Linked DNA regions of Danio rerio. The protein of the gene in region 2 interacts with the protein of the main gene of each other region in a pairwise test. Links are inferred from orthologs where the notes say so. Each region holds a gene or a part of one and is shown on either strand. Other genes may lie near its edges. The genes, in order: uba3 and cpne2.

Evidence for each region.
Region 1: the proteins of cpne2 (region 2) and uba3 interact in binary tests that used the Homo sapiens proteins (3 or more experiments, as listed by UniProt). The two-hybrid records come from large-scale screens. The link is inferred for Danio rerio from reciprocal best matches to the Homo sapiens genes CPNE2 and UBA3.

The regions. Positions count from the first base shown.
Region 1 is NC_133186.1:19,922,534-19,934,306, reverse strand, and holds part of uba3 (NEDD8-activating enzyme E1 catalytic subunit), read left to right. Parts: intron 1-2,588; coding exon 2,589-2,669; intron 2,670-2,791; coding exon 2,792-2,874; intron 2,875-2,956; coding exon 2,957-3,037; intron 3,038-6,031; coding exon 6,032-6,075; intron 6,076-6,242; coding exon 6,243-6,307; intron 6,308-6,437; coding exon 6,438-6,593; intron 6,594-6,669; coding exon 6,670-6,772; intron 6,773-6,861; coding exon 6,862-6,975; intron 6,976-10,368; coding exon 10,369-10,422; intron 10,423-10,524; coding exon 10,525-10,561; intron 10,562-10,637; coding exon 10,638-10,719; intron 10,720-10,804; coding exon 10,805-10,905; intron 10,906-11,773. UniProt on the Homo sapiens protein: Catalytic subunit of the dimeric UBA3-NAE1 E1 enzyme. E1 activates NEDD8 by first adenylating its C-terminal glycine residue with ATP, thereafter linking this residue to the side chain of the catalytic cysteine, yielding a NEDD8-UBA3 thioester and free AMP.
Region 2 is NC_133193.1:19,051,905-19,063,677, reverse strand, and holds part of cpne2 (copine-2), read right to left. Parts: intron 11,386-11,773; coding exon 11,183-11,385; intron 6,765-11,182; coding exon 6,585-6,764; intron 6,078-6,584; coding exon 6,003-6,077; intron 5,917-6,002; coding exon 5,845-5,916; intron 5,755-5,844; coding exon 5,671-5,754; intron 4,666-5,670; coding exon 4,576-4,665; intron 2,563-4,575; coding exon 2,464-2,562; intron 233-2,463; coding exon 149-232; intron 1-148.

The DNA.
Region 1 (11,773 bases), on a different chromosome or scaffold from region 2:
AAAAAAAAAGTGTGTGTATATATATATATATATATATATATATATATATATATATATATATATATATTAGGGATGTAACGGTATCAGAATTTCACGGTACGGTAATACCTCGGTATGAATGTCACGGTACGGTATTTATTGAATCATTTACAGGAAAAAAAAAAACTTTTGAAAATACTCCAAAAAAGTGCCAAAAGTGTCAATGACATACAAATTAGCCATCTATCTGTAAGCTTTGAAACAGGAACTTCAATTTTAATAACAAAAAATTATTAAACCATGTAAAAAAAATAAAGTTTCAATTTAGTATTGTTAAAAACTCATCACATTTAACATTTAATCACTCACTTAGATAGAGATGGGTTTAAAGGAAAATTATCATATAACTATAATCTGGTAAAAGCTGGTATCTCTGGGTATTTACAATGTCCCCTGCAACAGAAAAAAACCCCTCTCATTTGGGACTGAGGATTCTGGGACAAGAGAGATATGACTTGGCCCATGTTGACAGCAGTGGGGTAACGTTGTGCATTGTCTTTCCCCCACTTGAGAGGACAAACCATGAGTGAGATAGAGATCTCTTTGCGGTACAAGTCAATGTCTGCATCAATCTGAACAGTGTGCTGTGTTTCTGCAGTCCCCATGACTGTTATTAGTCGTATTCCCCAACTTGCAGGCACGTGCACACATAGGGCTCAACCTGTGCAGTGCACATGCCCTTTTTAGTCTTGGATAGAAAATGCCCTTCCAAAACGATCAAAAGTGCCCCCGCGACGCGACACAACCTCCGTCCAGTCCAGCCCTTCAGTAGGCGCGCGATAACACCTCTCTTGAGTATGCGCGCTCAACCCCCCCTCGGCGCTTTACAATACGCGCGCCACAACACAGCTGATCAGAACGCGCGCGACAGCACCGCTATTCAGCACGCGCGCGGCGACAACACCCGCTTTAGGTTCGATCATTTCCATCTTTTTTTCATCTCCGCTACTAGCAGCACACTCCATTTCCGCATTACTGGATCTGTAGCGACAACAGACCGCAAAGGATTATGGCCACGCCGGGGCTGATGGGAAATGAAGTTTCAGCTACCTCCCGTTCGCTTCATTCGCCTGAGCAAATTTTCTCAGAAGACCTATAGTTTTACCGAGTCATGCGACTTCGGTAATATCGAAAAAATTTAATATTGCGGTATGACGGTATTTACAATACCGTTACATCCCTAATATATATATTTATTTATGTTGAACAAATAAAAGAAAGGTTTGGGCCAGTAAAGGGTGAGTAAATGATGACAACTTTTAGTTTTGGGTGAACAATTATTTTAATAGAGATTCACCTAAACAAAGATTGAAAGAAATCTTCAGATTTAATATTTTTAATAGTATTTTTGTTTTAGAACACAAATTGATATATTTTAAATGAAATCTGAGAGCTCTTTTATCCTCTATAGTCAGTCACAAAATGTCCAAAAAATGAATCAAAAGCATTGTTAAAATATTTCATTTGTCTTCAGTGGTTGAATTATAATCATAAAAAGCTCCATAATGCAAAAAAAAAAAAGTAAAAACCTTCAGTTATTTCTCTGAAATACACAAATGTTGCTACAGCATTTTAGAATTTTTACAGCATTTATTTATATTAACTTATTATTTACAGATAAAATGTAAAATTCAAAGTTAAGCTTGTTAACATTCCTTAATGAACTGTGAGTTAACGAGAAAATTTGTATTTTTATTTTTCCGAAAAACTCAGAACGCTCGCAATAAAAAAAAACAAACAAACAGGGAAGCGCGAACAAGTGGGATGATGACATCTGCTGCTTCAGAAGCATCAATAGACTAATATAAAAAAAAAACTTTAAAAAAACAGCAGGTCGGTAATATGGGAATATTTTGGTTTTAAAGTCACATACACCTAACTACATCAGGTCATTTGTAAAAGAGCTGTCACAGAACTGTTGCCACAGCATGAAGAAATACAACATTCAGCACCTAAAAAAGCCCAACAGGCGCCTATATGAGGAGTGTTTTGCTAAAAAGTTAACTAATTATATTGCCAGTGACACTCAATCTAGTTACTAGAAAATTTCAATTTTAGAGTTGTTTGCTAATGTAAGGTGATATCTTTTCAGTTCCACTCGCTGCATTTTAGCAGATAGAAGCTACAATACAGATTGTTGAGCTGAAGCTTGACTACAAAATTAAATCGCAAATCAAATCGAAATCACAATATCTGTTCAAAAAAACGCAATTAGATATTTTCCCCAAATCGCACAGCCCTATTATAGGTTCATAATAACTGCCTTATCAATGCAGTGTATGTTTTGCATTCGCAAGATATGTTTTCACAGTGGTTAAATTACTATTATGATATTATGGTGGAGAATAAAATGCATAAATTACATTCTTCAGATGAATGATTTCATATAAAGCACAACTAACATTAAAATAAGACAAAAAATCTAAAAGATATTTCATAGTTTGAGAACAATGTCATTATCACAATATCAGTCCATTTGTGGTAATCTTAATATTGCTCTGCTCTCTTTCTCTCCTTTTTCTTTATAAATTGCGCACATCATCTTCCAGTCTCTCCAGTTTTTATTGGACACATGCAAGATTCTGGTTATTGGAGCCGGTGGACTTGGATGTGAGCTGCTCAAAGATCTGGTAATGTTGTTTCCTGTTTGATCTTGTGCTGGAATAACAATGCAATATATTTGACACAATCGATCCTCAAAGAGGCTAAATGTGTTTTTTTTTTTTTATATCGCTACAATGTCATCAATCAGGCTTTGTCAGGTTTTCGACATATTCATGTAGTGGACATGGACACCATTGACGTTTCTAACCTCAACAGACAGTTCCTCTTCAGGTTAGTCTGCGGACAGCTGTCTTTTTGAACCCTTTGTCGTTCTGATTTTAATCATCTAAACAGCCTGCTCTTGTTTCTCTAGGCCAAAAGATGTGGGCCGACCAAAGGCAGAGGTTGCAGCAGACTTCGTAAACGACAGGGTCCCAGGATGCAGTGTTGTCCCGTATCCTTTAAAGTGTATTAACTTAGTTTTGTCTTTTGTTTCAAAATTTAATTTTGATTTTGTTTGTGGGAAGTTTGAAATGCCACTGTACTTTTTTTCTGTGTTCAAAAAGTTAGAGGGCAGTAAGATGATTATATTTTATTTGCAAGAAACTTCCAATATTTTTTGCAATAAAGGATGCATTTAATAATCAATAAATCTATTAAATATGTGTATAATTTTACAAACAGTTTCTTTTATTAAAGGTATGCTTTTTTCTGGGATTTCTATTCATCCTAAAATAATAATAATAAAACATAAAAAATACAGTGCTGGGCAAAGATTAATCACATTAAAAATAAAACACATTAAAAATATTGTTTAGGCGTAATATATGTCAGTGTATTATATATATTTATTATGTATATACAGGGCTTTACATTAACACCTGCCAACCCGCCAAATGCGGGTAGATTTCGGTTGTGGTGAGTTAGACAGCCACTCTCACCAGCCACTTTGGCTGGCTGAAACTCCTTTTTAAATTGCCAGTGCTGGCTCGTCGTCACTAGGTTAGACTGTTAGTTTATGACCGTTTGTCTATATGCGTACAAATGTGATCTTAGAATCCAGAAGCAGCACGACTGACAAAAACAGTTTTTCGCGCGAGCAAAGGAAAGCAGATAAATAACGAATTAGAGGATCACGTACACAGTGAGACAGGCTTTCCTCACTCACTGACGAGGGCTCGTGTCGCGCGCACAGATGATTTGATTTGATGTTTCTTTTGCTTGCTGTTATTTTTGTTAATATAGTTTAATAATCATCCTTTACAATAATATTGCTTAAATATGTTGTTGTATGCACAGTTAACTGGTGATCTGGGATTTTGAGCCAGAACAGACCACTGTGCATAGTTTTAAATGCGTGAGTGTATATATATAAATATATATATATATATATATATATATATATATATATATATATATATATATATATATATATATATATATATATATATATATATATATATATATATATTTCGCGTGGGTTTCTTCCGTGTGCTCCGGTTTCCCCCACAGTCCAAAGACATGCGGTACAGGTGAATTGGGTAGGCTAAATTGTCCGTAATGTATGAGTGTGTGTGTGGATGTTTCCCAGAGATGGGTTGCGGCTGGAAGGGCATCTGCTGCGTAAAAAAAACTTGCTGGATAAGTTGGCGGTTCATTCAGCTGTGGTGACCCTGGATTAATAAAGGGATTAAGCTGACAAGAAAATGAATGAATGAATGAATGAATGTAAATAAATATATATATTTTAAATGTCAGCTGTTTTGTTAAACAAAAAGTGTATGGATCCAGCAGTATTTTGCTTGTTTTGACACATTATTTAAAATTTGTGGCAAGGAAATAATTAGTTTGGAGTGGCCAGTCGAAAAAAAAGGCAAACCATTATTGTGTTGAGCCCTGAAAAGTCCTGTGAAAGAAAACTAATTGCAATGCGCAACTTTTTATGAAAGTAATAACCCATAATCCATAATAACTAAATAACCCATTTGCTAATGCTCATTGAGTAAGCTCATAAACAAAAAAACAGTTAAATGAACAAGAAGTAATTTTAGCATGCCGCAACCCATGCCAAAGTCAAATTTATGCATATAAAATATATTTTCCCATCAGCAAAATTGAAATTGTGGCTAGTGAAAATGGCGAGTGGCTAGTAACGGTGGAAAACTACTAGCCACAATGGCTGGTGATCAAAAAAAGTTAAAGTCAAGCCCTGTGTATATATGATATACACATACATAAAATCAAAACAATACAAACATTTTTTTTTTATTACATATTTAAATTTATATATAATTTGTGCTATATACACTACCGGTCGAAAGTTTGGGGTCAGTACATTTTTTAAATGTTTTAAAATAAGCCTATCTTGCTCACCAATGATTCATTTATTTAATCAGAAATACAATACAAATTGTAAAATGTTATTGCACTACTGTTCAAAAGTAGTTTATCATTTAATCATTTATTCCAGTGATTTTAAAGATAAGATTTCAGCTTCATTACTCTAGTCTTCAGTCACATAATCCTTCAGAAATCACTCTAAGATTAATTAATTAATGTTGTTGTTGTTATTATTATTATTATTAATGGTAATTGTAATAAAAAAATAATGAATGAAATAATAATTTCATTTGAAACTACATACAATAAGAAAGCAGTTATTTAAAATGTTAATAAATGTTTAACAATTTAACTTTTTTTATTTACATTAAATAAATGCCGCCTTGATGAACATAATCATTTTCTTAAAAAAATTAAAAACATGAAAAAAAAAAAAAAAAAAAAAAAAATATATATATATATATATATATATATATATATATATATATATATATATATATATATATATATATATATATATATATATATATATATATATATATATATTGACCGGTAGTTAACATATAAAATTTATATCTAAATATAAATATTTTATCAAATATATCCATGCATGCATGCATGTGCGTATTACATATACATAATAAATAAATATTTACAATACACACAAATATTATGTCAAAACAGTACCGTTATTTTAAATTAGTTAATGTTTGATCAACACTAATAAAATATAATTCACTCTTTTCAACTGATATTAACAAGCATCTTAAGTAACAAGCAGCATATATACAATATAAAAGATGTAACACAAATGTAAAACTGAAGCGTGTAGTAATGATGCTAATTAATCTGCTTTTTCAATAGTGTGAAAGTATGCTTTTTTTTAATTCTAAAATATTTAGTATAAATTGGAATAATACTTGGCAATAATACTGATTTACGCTATTGTTCATCAAATAAATGCAACAGAAGTGAAATTTAAAAAATCTTACTGAGCCCAAACTTCTGAACTTGTAGTTTTTATACTGATTTATACTGTTGTATTTATACTGTTTTACACAGATTTGTACTGTCAAAATATTGTCATTTCCCTTAATACATAATGCAGACATTTTAAGAAAATCCAGGACTTGGATGAGACATTTTACAGGCGTAATCTAACTGTTACACATTTTGTTTTCATTATTTTTGTGTACAGAAATAATGTCCTAAAATCATAAATATATGATACTATTGTTCTGTTATTGTTATTAATAGTATGATGCTTTTTAGGCAGTATTATATTCTTAAATCTTTGTAATTTAACTGTTTTTGCATAGAATTCCACATAGTCGTCTGTGGCCTGGACTCTGTTATCGCCAGAAGATGGATGAACGGCATGCTTGTATGTCTCATAAACATCCAAGAATCTATTAATAGATATGTTTAGATCTAAAATCCATTCATTCATTAATTAAGTAGAGTGTTTCTATTCATTGAGAAGTACATATAGTCTATGCATTTACCTTTGTCAGCTCTCCCTGCTGATTTATGAAGATGGAGTCCTGGACCCCAGCTCTATTATTCCACTAATAGATGGTGGCACAGAGGGCTTCAAGGGCAATGCCCGGGTCATTCTTCCAGGAATGACAGCCTGCATTGATTGCACTCTGGAGCTCTACCCCCCACAGGTGCATTTTGGGATTTTTTGTGTTAAGTTGAAGTTTCAAAGCTTTTTTGTCATGCTCATTTCTGCGCCCTACACAGATCAACTTCCCGATGTGCACTATAGCGTCTATGCCACGGTTACCCGAACATTGTGTTGAATATGTACGCATGCTGCTGTGGCCCAAAGAAAAGCCCTTTGGAGGTACAATATGAGCTGATTGATTGGAATTTTTGGTTGTATTGCTAGCAGGTAATCTACTGTATTTCAGATATGGCTTTTTTGTTCTTCAGATGGTGTGGTTCTAGATGGAGATGACCCAAAGCACATCCAGTGGGTGTATCAGAAATCTTTGGAGAGAGCGGCTGAGTTCAACATCACTGGGGTCACTTACAGACTCACCCAGGGTGAGTGAGATGCCCTGTTCAATGGATCTTCATCAGGGATTTTTAAAAGCATCTCTTTTATTGACTTTAGGGCTGTAATTGTGCACATATTCATAATGAACGATTTTGATACAGGTCTTAGGGGCTGATCACAATGAACATGTTTTTCCGTGCTAAAACACGAGGCGCACCATATTTTCTTCTTTGTTGACGAGAAAAAAGAAGCGCTTTTTGCTAGGCAACAACTGAATCAGCTGTGTATTGTGCGAGAGTGTTGCTGTGATATTGGTATCATTTTAATATTAAATAATACATTTTATTTGTATATATAATATTTGTTAAGTCATACAGCTCCGGATAACTCAAAACAGCAACAGCTAGTCTTTCCTCTTTCTCCAAAAGTTTCCGTAGTCATCTTGACAACACAAACACTGCTGTCACCTCAACAGAAACCCTGCCTCTGCTTTTATTTAATTGTAGAATGAAAAAGACGCGAGTGATGTAGCACACTTTTTTTCCCTCGGAGTTGACTTTTTCAACTGCAAGTGCACAGCACCTAACGGCAAAAATGCAAGGCGCACAGGGCGCATTAGCAGTGTGCAAAACGCTCATGACCGTTAATAAACTATTCTAAAGATTCAACCCTCAGCGCAAAAAATGCATTCTGTGTGATTGGCCACTATAATTCACATAGACATTATACATAAAGTTAAAATATAACTAGTGGGTGGAGGACACTTTAGTTCATTTATCAGGGTTTTCGAGGGACATTTAGGTCCTATCACAGTTCTATTTTTGTACCCCTTCCCCTTGGCCTTTAAAACCGAGTGTGAAGGGGAAGGCGAAAAGTTAGCCCTAAGAATTGGGACAACGCTACAGCACCTGTACACGTCATCATATCTCTTGCTTCTTATGAGATCGATGATCGTGACTGCTGTAGTTATTCCAGTTGCTGTAGTTTTTGGTATTTATCTTCAGGAGATCACTGAAGGCTTATATTATAATATCAAAACTATCTAATGTGGCAATAAGATCGTAACTGTACTGCGCATTTACACTGTGGCCATATTCGTCAATATAAACACACAAAAAACAATAACATTATAGCAGACACCGTAAAAAGCTCATGCGCAACCAATAGACTCTTCTGAAATGGTATTCGTGTATCATCGAGTGTCAGAATGTTGTGGGATTGCTATACAGGAGGTATGATTATGGATTATATATAGTGAAATTTAGCTGGTTTTATATTAGTATTTTTTTAAAGCATGACGGTAAAACATGAACGCGGTTATGAATATATTAAAAGATGTGCTTGTTTGTTGTAAAAATTCATAATAATGAAAAAATAATAATAATTTGCGTATCTCCTTACGTCCGGGTCTAGCTATCCTGCCCTTGTGGCTGGTGTATTCTGGGAAATTTTCTTACCCCTTGGTTTCGAGTGTGGTCCTGAAAAATCTCCATTCGAAGGGCTATCTACCCCTTAGCCCTACACCTTCAAGCTAAAGAAAATTAGGACACCCCTACCCCTTAATTTAAGGCCTAAATGGCCTAATAAATTATGTTTAATAAACTGTATTTGAAGAGTTCAGATGCAAAATCCCCCAGATGCCATCTGACATTTTCTTTTAAAATGAGAATTTTTTTCAAAAAATGATATTAAAATCATTTGAATTGAATTGAATGAATTGTTGAAATAATTCACTTTAAGTGCAATAAAAACATATTTATAAATGTAAAAGTTAAATAACTGGTCACACAACATATAAACAGGGCCTTAATTTCCAAAGTATTTTGAATGTAGAATCCATGATCAAACAAAAAGTGTTTCAGTGGTAATCAGTATATTGCTGTTTATTGGATAAGGGATTCATAAAGATATTAAAAAATATATCAAAGGCACTCAAAATTATTATTTTTTAAAAAACAACATGACTCGTTCACCTACCCATTTCGGCAAACTTGCCTTTATCAGGATGACAATATTCAGGTCGGTCTAGAGTTCATTTGAATTTTCAGTATGTCACATGACACAATTATATTACTACACAGTACAGAAAATAAAATAACTAAACAATAATGTCAACTCAGCAGTTATTCACAGTACAGTAATGAGAGAGAGAAAAAACAGAATAATTATTACAACATAAACTATACAGCATAATTCTCAAAATTTAGACATACAATACAAGACATATATTGAATACAGCTTCAATAATAATTTATTTTAATTTGCTTTTGCAAAATATGATCAAAACACAGAACCAGCTTTGATTATTTCTTTGAGACTGTTTATGTCTGAGAATAACATTTGCCTTTTTTTGTTTATCAATTTTTCTTTCTTGTCTCTTTGAGACAAGGCTGGGGGCTTGGGGGCTGACCCTTTTTTTTAGTTATTTCATTTCAATATGGATTCTTAAATGATTAGTCCAGGATCAGTCTTTCAGTTTGTGTTATTTCAGTTAAGTCAGGTCTACCACAGAATGGGCGTGGAGCTTCGCGATCAGAGGTAGGAGTGGGCGTGGCTAGCAGAGCAGGGTAAAAGTAGGGGAGCGAACAACTGTTGTCAGTTAGCTCACAAAATGAGACACAAACCGTGAGAAGATGCATGATTTTATAGTTTACAAAGTTAAAATGCAAAGAAATAAACAGTAATTTTATGCCCTGCTACATTTGTAATTTCATATACATAACCACAATTTATACCATTATGAAGATAATCGTGTTCATTTAAACACTATGAGGACTTCTCCCTCAATCTCTGGGTCTGTATGCAGACTCTCTTGCCCTGCCTATTTCAGCCATTAGCCCTGCTGGTAATCTGAAGGATTTAGGTGAACACAGCAGCATGGCGATGTGTCTAAATGTGAACGAACTCCACTGATAAAGGACAATGTTCGCCATTCTCCGCCATACTCGTACTGCTCTCCCGACAAAAATGCTTGCTGCACACAAACAGCTTTGCTGTATCGGCCCTGACAGCCCTGTATTTGATCCCGCCCCAAAAATAATTTTAAACCCGGAAGATGAAATTAGCTGATAATAGCTCAAAATTGTCCAGTTTTTACCACAATTAAAGCTGACAGGTGCTAACATTGTCCTAACTGATGCTCAACACACAAATCTGTTAAAATCTCAAAAAAGTACTCTGGTTTCTTGAACCTTTAATGCTCAAAGAACTTTACTAGATATTATACAGTACACCTCCCAACCAATAATCACAAGCTAGACAAGAAGTGTTTCTGTTAATTTTGATAAGAAATGAGGTCTTTCCAATTCTGTCCACTTTATCAAACAATAAATGCTATTTGGTTTGGCAATATAATGTTCAGGTTCAGTCTTTTTCCAAAAAGTCTAAATCAAGTTCACACAATTGTACTTGTTGATGTAAAATCACATCCTGTTTTTCAGGGGTTGTGAAGCGAATAATTCCTGCTGTGGCTTCTACAAATGCTGTCATTGCTGGTATTCTGACATTACAAATAATCTCTGGTTTTATTGTGCATTTTTTCAGTAAGTTGAGCGATAACTGTAAATACTATTTGCTTTTTTTCCTGCATGTTTCAGCTGCTTGCGCCACAGAGGTTTTCAAAATTGCCACAAGGTAAGTTATAATATAGTTCTTTAAAAAGAGCTTTGAATTCAGCATTTATTGACATATTTATTCTGTTCCCGAACAGCGCTTATGTTCCCTTGAACAACTACCTGGTGTTTAATGATGTCGACGGGCTGTACACATACACCTTTGAAGCAGAAAGAAAGGTTAGTAACTTGAACAGCATATGCTAAATGCTATAAATGTTTGAATGTGGATACAGCTGAAATGTTGTCCATGTTGTATTTGAAGGAGAACTGTTCTGCGTGCAGTCAGGTGCCACAGGACATGCAGTTCACACCGTCAGCTAAACTACAGGAGGTTCTGGACTACCTGACTGAGAACGCCTCTCTGTGAGACACTCACTGAATTAAATGCTTTACAGTTATTTGCATTGAAATCTCTTATTTCTTTATCATTGTCCTACAATATGTGTACCAATGCATAAAGCGTATAAAATAGTAATACTGTAAAACTGTGAACTTAAAATATTTGTAATATACTATATTATACCATATTTTTAATAAACTAAAGTATATAATATTAATCCACTTTAATATATTATATATTAACAGATAAATACACTGAAAATCTGAATTAAAAAATAGTAATTGTATAAGTCTTAGACCTACAAATAAGCTATCACATTTAAAAAAAATAATTATGTCATGTTATAATTAATTATATTAAAATATTACTATGTAATTAATATATTTTCTCTGTTAATTAAATTAATATAATTGATATTACACTATTGCTTACTCATTCAAACTCTTGACAAATTTTTTTCATATTTTTTTATGCTTATAAAGTAAATTAAAATAATAACAAATTATAGCTGGTGTGTTTTGTGTGTATGATCACCCCATATTATCATATATGAAGCTCAATTAATCGAGCATGGCACTAGCAACAACAAGGCTGTGGGAAAGCATAAAAAGGACTACCTTAAATGAATTGAAAGCTTCTTCGGAAACAAGTGTCTGCAAAATGCAGAAATGCAACTGTAAATGTGAGTTAAGTTGTCCCAATTCCAACCTGCATTCTAGTCAATCAATCCACAAGATGGTACCTTGACCCAGTGAAAACATCTGGCGATTATGTAGTTCTGGCAAAATGATGTCGAAGGCTCTCCCAAAATCTGTTGATTTGTCATTTGTTATTCAAATCTTGTAAACCATCTAATGTCAAATATAACATTACGCAGTTTCAGACATTATC
Region 2 (11,773 bases):
TTAAAGACCCTTTTATTTGTAATACAATTGTAATTAAATAAGCCGGAACATGGAAGGTGCTTTAATGTGCAAGCAGAATGTATTTAATCATTTCTTTTGCCTTGTGAATAGTGAATGTGTCACCATTCTTTGTTTCTTATGTCCTTACCTTGCATGACTTCAGAATTATGATTCCCGAGTTTTTGTAACTCTTTTTTTTCTGCTTCTTGGGATTAATGCATTCAAACTCAACCTGTGAACGGAAGGTACTGTGTTACTATAGTGCAGGATAAATAGTTTTTGTATGTATTAGACAATGTTGACAACATTAAATAGTGTTTTCGTAAATACATGTACATATTGATTGTTATTCATGTCTAAAATGATTTATATTATTTCAGTAATTTGTATAACATATCTTTAAGTTTTACAGTAATTCAAACCCCAATATCCAAAACTTACCCCAGACAGTTTTAAGGAAAAAATTTAAATGTAATAATAATAATCATAAAAAAAGAAAATCCAATCAAACACATTTCACATTCCACAACTTCAGACTTCAAAAGCTTCTTCAGATATTGCAAAATTAAGCAGATTAATTCCTTATTATGTGTGTGAGTTTTTTAAGAGCCAAACATGTTATAAGGTTTCTTAACCAAAGTCCAATGGAGGGGCAATTAACATTTATCCAACACAGAACAATACATCATCTTGCTGGTATTAAACACAAATTTATTCCAGTAATTTGGAATGTTTGCATAAAATAGTAAATATTAGCCATAAAAAACTCATTTTGGTGAAGAATTAAAACAAATAATACATGTTAATATACACTGATTGGCCACTTTATTAGGTACAGAATTCAGAATTGCCCTAATCCTTTGTGGCATAGATTTAACAAGGTACTAGAAATATTCCTCAGAGATTTTGGTCCATATTGACATGATAGCATCACGCAGTTGCTGCAGATTTGTCGGCTGCACATCCATGATGCAAATCTCCCGTTCCACCTCGTCCCAAAGGTGCTCTATTGGGTTGAGATCTGGTGACCCTACCATCCGAATGTCGTAGTAGAAATCGAGACTCATCAGACCAGGCAACGTTTTTCCAATCTTCTATTGTTCAATTTTGGTGAGTCTGTAATTGTGAATTGTAGCCTCAGTATCCTGTTTTCAGCTGACAGGAGTGGCACCCGATGTCGTCTTCTGCTGCTGTAGCCCATCTGCCTCAAGGTTGGATGTGTTGTGCACTCAAAGATGCTCTTCTGCATACCTCAGTTGTAACGAGTGGTTATTTGAGTTACTGTTGCCTTTCTATCAGCTCAAACCAGTCTGGCCTTTTCTTCTGACCTCTGGTATCAAAAAAGCATTTGCACCCGCAGAACTGCCACTCACTGGATTTTTTTTTTCAGACCATTCTCTGTAAACCCTAGAGTTGGTTGTGTGTGAAAATCCCAGTAGATCAGTACTTTATGAAATACTCAGAGCAGCCCGTCAGACACTAACAACCGTGCCACATTCAAAGTCACTTAAATCACCTTTCTTCTCCATTCTGATGCTTGGTTTGAACTTGTCCTGACCATGTCTATATTTGCGTTAACGAGCAGTTGGACAGTACCTTATAAAGTGGCCAGTGAGTTTAATAAATAATAGATCAGCTTTCTATACACTATAATAAATAAAGGGTTTCACACAATTCATTCATGTTGTCCCAGAACAAATCGATTAAGTTAACTTAACAAATTTAAGTAGACTGAACATAAAAAATATAAGTTGTCCCAATAAAATCTCAAGAATTGTGTTGTTTTAGCTCATTTTAAATAGTTAAATTGAACAAGCAGTAAAAATAATTATTTGAGTTTATCTAGTATTATTATTTTAAGGACTCTCTCAAACAAAGCTGAGACACAAAAATGAGACATAATCTATTCTGAAACAAAAATCCAAGTATCAGCATCATCTGTGAGTTCTAGAGAGATCATTCATCTGAAATGCGAACACAGAGGGGTGACAATCACTGCGGGAGCTCAATTACTTTACAACATGACACGAAATACATCATATCTCTGAGCAAAGGCTGTGCAGCAGAATGCCAGTACCTGAGTGAACGGGTGTTTATTAGTACACTAAGTCGTTCTCCAAGAGAACATTTAAACGTGTTCTGCCAAAGTGTGACTGGCAACGCACAATGCATGTTCTGGTAAACAAGGCAGCGGTAAAACAGGAGCGATTTGCATCTCAAAAGAGCCAGTTACTCTCTCTGTTTCTCCCTCCCACCTCTTTTCTCCTTCTCCCTCTGTCTCTCCCTCTCACTCACTAATTCTCAGCTTCATTATGCCAGATAATGAGGCATAGCTAGTACTCACATAGTATTCTGGCGCAAGAGCGGCAGGCGTTAATGTGAGCCAAGCTTTTACTTCACGCGTTTAGTTTCTACATTGTGGAAATTATGAATCTGCATGGTGTTAATTGCAGACAAGCCCACCTCCACTCCGTTCTCTGCTTCGCTCATCTTGGTCACGGAGGTCTGAAACTCGCCGATGAAATCATGGCCTCCGTCGTTGTCATAATCGTAGCACAGCACCTGTGACATCATATATTTACAGTGAGTTGTGACAATGTGGCTCATTGGGACATAAACAGACTTGACCAAGAGAAAAATCAAAACTGCTTAGTAGGTCTTCGAATACTGTATGTAATGTAATGTAATGTGTATTTATATAGCACATTTATTGTGTATAGTCACACACCCAAAGCGCTTCACAATCATAAGGGGGGGGGGTCTCTCCACACCACCACCAATGTGCAGCATCCACTTGGATGATGCAACGACAGACACAGGACAACGGTGCCAGTGTGCTCACCACACACCAGTTATAGATGGAGTGGAGAGGCAGTGAGCCAATTCGGTGGATGGGGATGATTGGGACAAGGCAGATAGAAGGAATTTGACCAGGACACCAAGGTTACTACTCTTTAAGAAAAGTGCCATGGGATTTTTAATGACCACAGAGTCAGGATCTCTGTTTAACATCTCATCCGAAAGATGGCACTCCTGACAGTATAGTGCCCCTTCACTTTACTAGGGCATTAGGACACACACAGACCGCAGGTTGAGAACTGCCTGCTGGCCTAACCTAAACCACTTTTAACAGCAACCTAGTTTTCCCATGTGGTCTCCCATCCAGGTACTGACCAGGCTCAGCCCTGCTTAGCTTCAGTGAGTAACCAGTCTTGAGCTGCAGGTTGATATTTGCTAGTAGGTCTTTGAATATTGAAGTTAAGTGAAACATGGACCTAATATATATGTTTTGATTTGTTTGCTTTTTTAGCTAAGCACAATGTAAGCATCATTATTTGGTATTATTATACATATATAATGTTTTTTAGAAAACATGAAACAGATTTGTTTCTGAATTCTTTAATTAAATTTCTTAAAAAGAAAAAAATGTAGTAATATAAATGAACAAATGTATTATGCATAATATTCAAATATGACATGAGATGTGTTTAAATTAATTTGTGCCCCTACTAACAGCAGCATATGGCACTGAAACTTTTGTATTAATGCATTATAAAACAACCATGGATTCAATCCATGGGAACACACATACTGATAAGATGTATACTTTGAATACACTGTAAATCACTTTCCAAAGCATCTGGCAAATGTATACTGTAAATGTAAATTTTGCTAATTGGGGACAAATAGTGAGTAAGGGGCCATCTGTTAAACTATATTTTAAACCAACTGAATTTTTGATTGGACACATGTAAAAAAACAGTCAATAATGTTACTTTAAACCGTAACAGTAAGTTGTTTTAAGCTATTTCAATATGAAAAGTTTTTCTTTTTGGGATCACAGTCTCCAATATACCCCAAAACACATTCATTGTGTTTAATAACACTTTAGTTTAGGTCACAATCCATACTATTAACTACTGGCTTATTACCTGCCTATTATTAATTTATTAACTGTTCATTATTAGTTATAATGTATGATCTTATTCTACATCTCCAATCCTACTTAAAACTGAAACCCAACTTCTACCTCACTAACTATTAATAAACAGCTAACTAGAAGTTTATTAACCCAGGAGTTCTAGTCAATAGTTTGTTCATCATTTTTCTTCAACGTACTCCCTTATTTATCAGGAATCGCCACAGTGGAATGAACTGCCAACTATTTCAGCATGTTTTACGCAGTGGATTCCCTTCCATCTGACACCCAGTACTGGGAAACACCCATAAACACGTATTTACATGCACACTTATGCACTACGGCCAATTTTGTTTACCCAACTCACATATAGTGCATGTCTTTGGACTGTCAGGAAAACCAAACTACCTGAAGGAAACCCATGCCATTCAAACTCCATACAGAAATGCCAACTGACCCAGCCGGGACTCGAATTAGCGACCTTCTTGCTGTGAGGCAACAGTGCTAACCACTGAGCCCTCGTGCTGCTGTTAATGGTTCAATACAGTGAACTGTGCACCAAACTGAAGTGTTGCCATGAATTCTACTGAGATTTTTTACACACATCCTATAAAACTGGACAGTAAAAGACAACAACTTCATAGAAACACACACACCTTGATGTTTCTGTCCACATCTCCATTACAAAGTGAGATTAGAGGCACTGTGAAAGGCTTCCATACAGGATCCAGAGTGTTCTTAATGACCTAATATCACACACACACAGGCAATTATTATTCTTTTCATTAAAAGAATGGATCTAGTCTAAAATACAAGCTTCACATCTGATAAAACAGCAGTAATAAATAGTCTACATCAGGGGTCTCAAACTCAATTTACCTGGGGGCCGCATGAGGCAAAGTCTGGGTGAGGCTGGGCCGCATAAGGGATTTCACAAAAAAAAGTCCTCAAATGCCATTATTAACAGTTTTAATTATTTCTTCTGAACATGAAGTGTCCTGAACATTAATAGAACATTGAGTGAAGATTATGAACAGTTCTTCTGAACATGGCATCTTTTGCCTACTCCTTACTGCCCGAGACTTGACAGCGCTTCTTTTCACAAATCTGAACCACATTTGGCTTTAGAGTGGAAGCAGTTGAGACCCTCAGTATGGCTTGAAGATGATCATTATTAAGTCTAGACCTGTACTTTGACTTATTGAAGTTCAAGGTGGAGAATAACTTCTCACACAAATATGTGCTCCCAAAAAGACCTAGTCCTAGGGAAAAAAGTGGGGGAACTCACTCAAAACTTCCATTCCCTCACCTAAAAAAAAGGCGTATATATGTATAAATAAAACACCCCCACCCCACTCCAGTCACATCAGTCTGTACCAGTCTGTATCTACCTATAATATATGCAGCATGTAGCTGAGTGGCAGGCAGGGGCGGGAACAGCTTACCTTGGTTCTTCCCGCCCGTCACAGCGTCTAACAAAGAGGCGGGGTGCGTGGTGACGTCACCGGCATCCCCGCTCCTTTGTTTACACGGCGGGCGGGGAATGCCAGTGACCGCTGTGTACGGATAGAATCAGCGGAGCTGGAAGCGCTCTCTCTCCCCGCTCCGCTGATTCTGTCAGTGTACAGCGGTCGGCGCGGGCCACAAAATATTGCACTGAGGGCCGCAAATGGCCCGCGGGCCGCGAGTTTGAGACCCCTGGTCTACATAAATGAGAATATCACCAACACGGTATCTATTTAATACCTTACCTCTGTTCTGTGAACCATCATCCATTTCCCATCATCCCCTTGTTTGTGGAACTCTAAATAAGGGTCTGATTTACCAAAAAAGTCCTGAAAAACAGCCACAAACAAAATCATTATCTTCTTTCAACGAGTGCTTTTGTGAAGTGCTTGAATGGCTATCAAAAGCTCTTAACTCACCTTTTTATCCAGCTTCCTCCCACACATGGTTAGGGTGATTATTCTGTTGTCTGATAACTCCTGCGCTGTTATCTAGACCAAACCAAGCAGATCGTGAAGCTCTCGTACAAACTCTATCAATGCATATGTCAGTTCTGGTGTGCTATGCGGGATCTTACTGTGATGGCCCCCTTCCCTGCCGGCTTGCCATTAGCCAGAATCAGTGGTCGATGCAGCTTCTTATTTGACACGATCTAATACAGAACAGATGGCCCAATAAATGCACAAGTAGAGGCGATACAGAAAGCTAATTTATCATAATTATGATCATAAAAGCTTATGGTAATTACTTGAGATTATCTAATTAGGGTGATGCCAAGCAGCATATAGCAGATTGACCTGAGATTTTAGACATCACTTGGAAATACTTTGTTTAACTATATTTACTTGTGTTTTAAAGTATGGATTTGAGTAAAATGGGAACATTTGTTGCATTAATAATGTCTGATTACATTTTTTTTTAACAAACAAATGATGTTTATTCCACCACATACTGCTTTCTTAACTTTCATTGGACAAAAACATCAATACCGCCTTTTCAGAAAGAAACCATAATACTTTTTTAATGATTTTAACACCCCATTGAAGCTCTAGATAACAACATTTTCCTTATACATTACCATAAAGACATTTTTTAAATAGTTTCTTATTTACTCCATAGCAGTAAGTAAAATGTTATTGATTAAAAAGTGCTACTGTACCACTCCCAATGTGCAGGTGAACTCGCCCAGAAAGTCGTGTTCATAAAGCTGAGAGCTGCATTTGTCCTCATCAAACATGGCAAATTTCAGCTTCTGGACCTCCTCAAAGTGGTAATCCACTTGAAATTTTACCCCAAATACTGGATTCAGGTTATTAATAGCCGTCTCTGTTCGAGCCAGCTGAAAAGACATAAAAAATAGAATATGTTTTTTGTTTAATTTTAAAAAAGGGTCAAGAAAGATAACATGAAGTTATACATTATTAAACATTTTTAACTGGTGGAGAAGTTGTCATATAAGATTGACATAACTATAAACTATTTTTACATACAAAAGAGCACATGATATGCACATATCAGTCAGATGAGTGAGAGGAATTTGTTGCTTGTACTGATACTATATATACATATTTACTATATATTTCCCAAATGTTGTTTAACAGGTTCAGTAAATTTTCACAGTGTGTCTGATAATATTTTTTCTTCAGGAGAAAGTCTTATTTGTTTTATTTCGGCTAGAATAAAAGCAGTTTTTAATTTTTTAAAAACCATTTTAAGGTCAAAACTATCAGCCCCTTTAAGCAATATTTTTTCGATAATCTACAGAACAAACTATCAATATACAATAACTTGCCTCATTAGCCTAACCTGTCTACACTGTTAGAAATAAATACGCGAGCTGTCACCTGTGGTGGTACCTTTTTTTAAAAGGTACAGTACACATTTGTACTTAAAGGGTTTATATTGATACCTCAAAAGTATATATTAGTAGATAAAAAATGTAAAAGAGATCCCTTTTGAACTTTTAAGGTACTAATATGTACCCTTGAGATATTTATATGGACCTTTTAGGTACAAATTTGTACCTTTTGAAAAAGTACCACCCAAGTGAATGCTGTGAAAACTTCTTTGCTTTCTTAAAGGTCATTTGGGAAATATTTAAAGAAGAAAAAAAATCAAAGGGGGGCTAATAATTCTGACTTAAACCACATATTTTTTTTTCTCTCTCTCTCTGCAGAAACTGTATAAATAGATACCAAATTGTATGGCAGTCCTTTATATTTGCCCCTTACACTGTGGTTCATTCTTTCCAGTGCAATATAAAGTAAAGTCGCAAGATAAAATATGACAAATATGACATTGAGATATTTTTACAATTAAAGTTACAAATGTACTTTTTGTGTGCCTGAATGCTTTAAACTCGCTTGAAATGCATTTAAAGCACATGCAAATCATGAAGTTTCACTCTCCTATGGTTATACTTTGCAATGACTCAAGTGATAAGATTAATTTACTGAATAAATGAATGTTATCACTTTTTTCCAGAAGATTTGAATCACCTCACATTCCCAGATACAGTGAAAGACTGTTCCTTTAGGTTTTTGGCATTTTAAACATATGCCTGGGATGTTTGGCTTAAACTTACTTAATTTTCCAGGTTTGATGAAAGTACAAACAGAGGATATGTTATTAAAAGATTGCACATCTATCCTTGAAGTCATTAGACTTTTTTACAAGATGCAGCAAATGATTGGGTTTATGTGTACACAATTACACACTCAGGACTGACATGAATAAGATGACATAAAGCCTATATTTATGAGGTCCAGACAACATTTCCAGGTGCTGATAAACCAGGAGTTTCTTCTCTTTTTTTTACTTTTTAAAAACAGTAGCCTTTTTTTAAATTTTATAAGCACATTTTAATTTAAATGTTCTTAATAATAGGAACTAATATGCATACGCTTTAGCTGCTTTACTGGACCTATTACGCTACTGTATTTCAATACTGCTCATTCTGGTGGTACTTGCAAAGACAACTTTTTTCTGAGGTGGTACTTGATGATAAACGTTTGAGAACCACTGAGATAAAATATTCCACTATTTTATAATATTTTCAAGTCTTTTTTGCCATTCTAATAAGTTTTTTTTATTACAGTGATTTACAATATGTAATCATTTGTAAATTTCAAAGGGTTTCTCAATAATTAGTTTTTATTGTAATAAAAAAAATTAAGAAGGTGCTAAAATGATAATAACAGTCATTTTAAAAAAGCATAACAGCAAGTGAGCATAAATTATAGTTGGGACAAATCTATATAGTTAAATACAAGGTTATATTTATAAAGTAAAAAAGTGCTCCATATTTCAAATATTATTAAATATATTATTCCATTTTACAGTAATGAAATATTATATTGTATTTATTATGAACAGTGATAACAATACTGGTATATACAGATGATTAAAACATGAAAGAATTTTGGGACAGCTTCTTTTTAGTATTTATCTGCATTTACATTTATTCATTCGTGATCAGTGTTCTAAATTTTTAAACACCATGTTCTAGAATGCATTTTAGCATGCATTTATCTACCACAAGCGCATTCCTTTGTTTGTCTCTTGCTGTTTCCATGGCTACAGTGTGTGGTAGAAGAGTGATTTTGTGTGCTGGCCTGCCCTACTGACCAGTGACTCTGGCCTGTGATGATTGAGCTCTAAAGGCACAGTCCCATAGAGAGCTCAGACACTGCAACCTAGTTTGCTCATCAGTTCATTCGCTTTATTTGATGTTCAAAAAGATTTCTTCCTGTTTTGCTTCCTACATGCCATCTTTTTCAGTTTTCCACACTATCAACTTGTGCATTTGTCTCAAAGGATATATGTTGCTTTCTAAGGCTCCCAAGAGGCTTCTCAGTGATAAGTTTTCAGTGATAAAAATTCAGATGAGTTTTCCTTTTCTATGTATGTATTAATAATTAATAATATTATAAAACATGTATATATGTATATATATTAGGGGTGTAAGGATACACTCAGCTCACGATGCTATGTGTATCACGATATAATGTTCACGATTCGATATGTATCACGATATTTGGAATAAAAATTTAAAATTTAACTGAAATGCAAATTTTACCAAGTAAACTATTTTTTATGTACTTCTTTTGTTTCAACTTGTTAAACTGAACCTTCTTTAAGAAAATAAATTAAACAGGCCTGTCTCTGGAAAATAAAACTATTTAAAAACTTCTTAAAAATATTATTAAAATGACAGAGACAAAATGAAGGAACAATTTAAGTAAAGGTGCAAAAAATAAGCTTTCAATTGAATTTAACAGTAAGAGCTTAAGGCTTTGCTTGGTCACTTGCGTTTTTTGTGTGTGCAAAAAAAATCCACATTTTCAGGTAATCAGCAGTTCTATAAGATAATCCTGAACTTATGTGTATCTGTCTGAGAGGTTTTTAGGGATGGCTGTCTTCATGTTGGGCATGATGAGTGACAGGGTGGCCGTCTTTTCATTAACTTACACAGGACAGTCGTGGCTCTTTTCAGCAGTTTAGGCAGGTTTACTATTTCTTCTGCGTCGCTGATGTCGGCGCTATCAAGTGTATCATGTTGACGTGCATTTTTGTGTACCTCTGTACTCAAAAGAGTTCATGCTCATCGTAATCATAACTCTAAAATGCGATATGATTGTTTAAATAATGTGTACGTTTTCGGTTTCATTTCCACTGCTAAGTGCTGTTCATACTTCCCACGCGGCTCCTGAACGATCACTCTGTTCCACAAACTGAATGTTGTTTACTACTTTATTAGTCACAACCTGCAGGTTCTGTTCACTGAAGCAGACGCGCGCGTATGGCAAGCCGTTTTAGCATTTAAACCTTTGTTCTGACTATCCATAAATATATTTAATTCATATTTAATTAAATTCCTTTAGAGATATCTCTAATTATATTTTGACTAGTCGAATTATAATTATGACTAGTCAAAATACAATTAGAGATATCTCTAAATATATTTATGGATAGTCAGATCAAAGGTTTAAATGCTAAAACGGCTTGCCATACGCGCGCGTCTATCATAGTCCGCCCTCTGTAGTAACAGCTCACGTCATGTGTGATTTTGCGGCCGCCAATACATCATTATATGAAGACAGAATGATATTTTAGGATGAATTGTACCTTATAAATACAGTATGTGACTCTTTCAACACCATTAGGAGGTATCCATGTCGCTGTGCAAAGTATGTAAATCACTGTGAAGACTTTAAAACTTAGGATGTTTGACCCAGTATGCGTGTCAAAAAGCGGACGAGTCTAAAGCAATGACTCTACAACCGAAATGTTGGCAGACGTCTGATTTTGAGAGGATGGGCTATCCTCTATTTCAACTCCACTCATCTTGGTCTGCTAACATTACTGCTGCTGCAATCTGAACTCACGTGCGACAGCAGGTGGAACGTAGCTCACGTGCAAACAGCTCAACTAATAAGAGAAAACGGACGTCATGTCGTAATCAAATCGTCATAACGCCACGATGCATATTGAGACATTTTTGCATCGCAATAAATTGTACAACGATAAATCGTTACACCCCTAATATGTATATATATATATATATATATATATATATATATATATATATATATATATATATATATATATAATTTCTAAATCTTAATCTCTAATCTTATATCTTAATTAATCTGCATGTGAATCTTTTCTCTCCAACTCATCAAGTTTAGTTAAAGGTTAACTTGTAATATCCACAATACTCTGTGAAGGTAAACACTTTATATCACTTCTCCTTACCTCCACCCAATTGCCGTCCACATCATGGAAAAGAACACAGAATGGGTCTGATTTTGATGCTACGTCGCGGTCCAGCAGGTTAGCACCGCAGACTGAGAGCTCCACTTTTGTGACGCAGTGCTGGGGCCCTAATGCAGGACCCACATCGGGCCCCGAGCCCAGAGTATAGGCCATGGAGAAGGGAGTACCTCCTCTCCTACACCCTGGGGATTACAAAACAGTATTACTTTATTTACAAAACCTTAAAAAAAATTATTAAAATAAACTTAAAAATGTGATTTACACATTAAACCTTATTAACTGCAAGTAAAGTTCGTCCTACTTTAAATTAGAGACCTTAACTAAATATGTAATTACACTGAAATTAATCATTCATTACAATGTACTTTCTGTAACTACAAATTTAATTGCACTGTTGTCTCATCCCTTACACCTTTAACTACCCATACAACCAAATCTGTTCCTAACCCTACCCGTATCCCAGCTCAATAGCATCAGAAGTGTTCTGCAATACATTATGAACAAAAGTACATTGTATACATTTTTTGATGCAAGTACATAGTAATTACAGCTGCTTAATATAAATTGGGA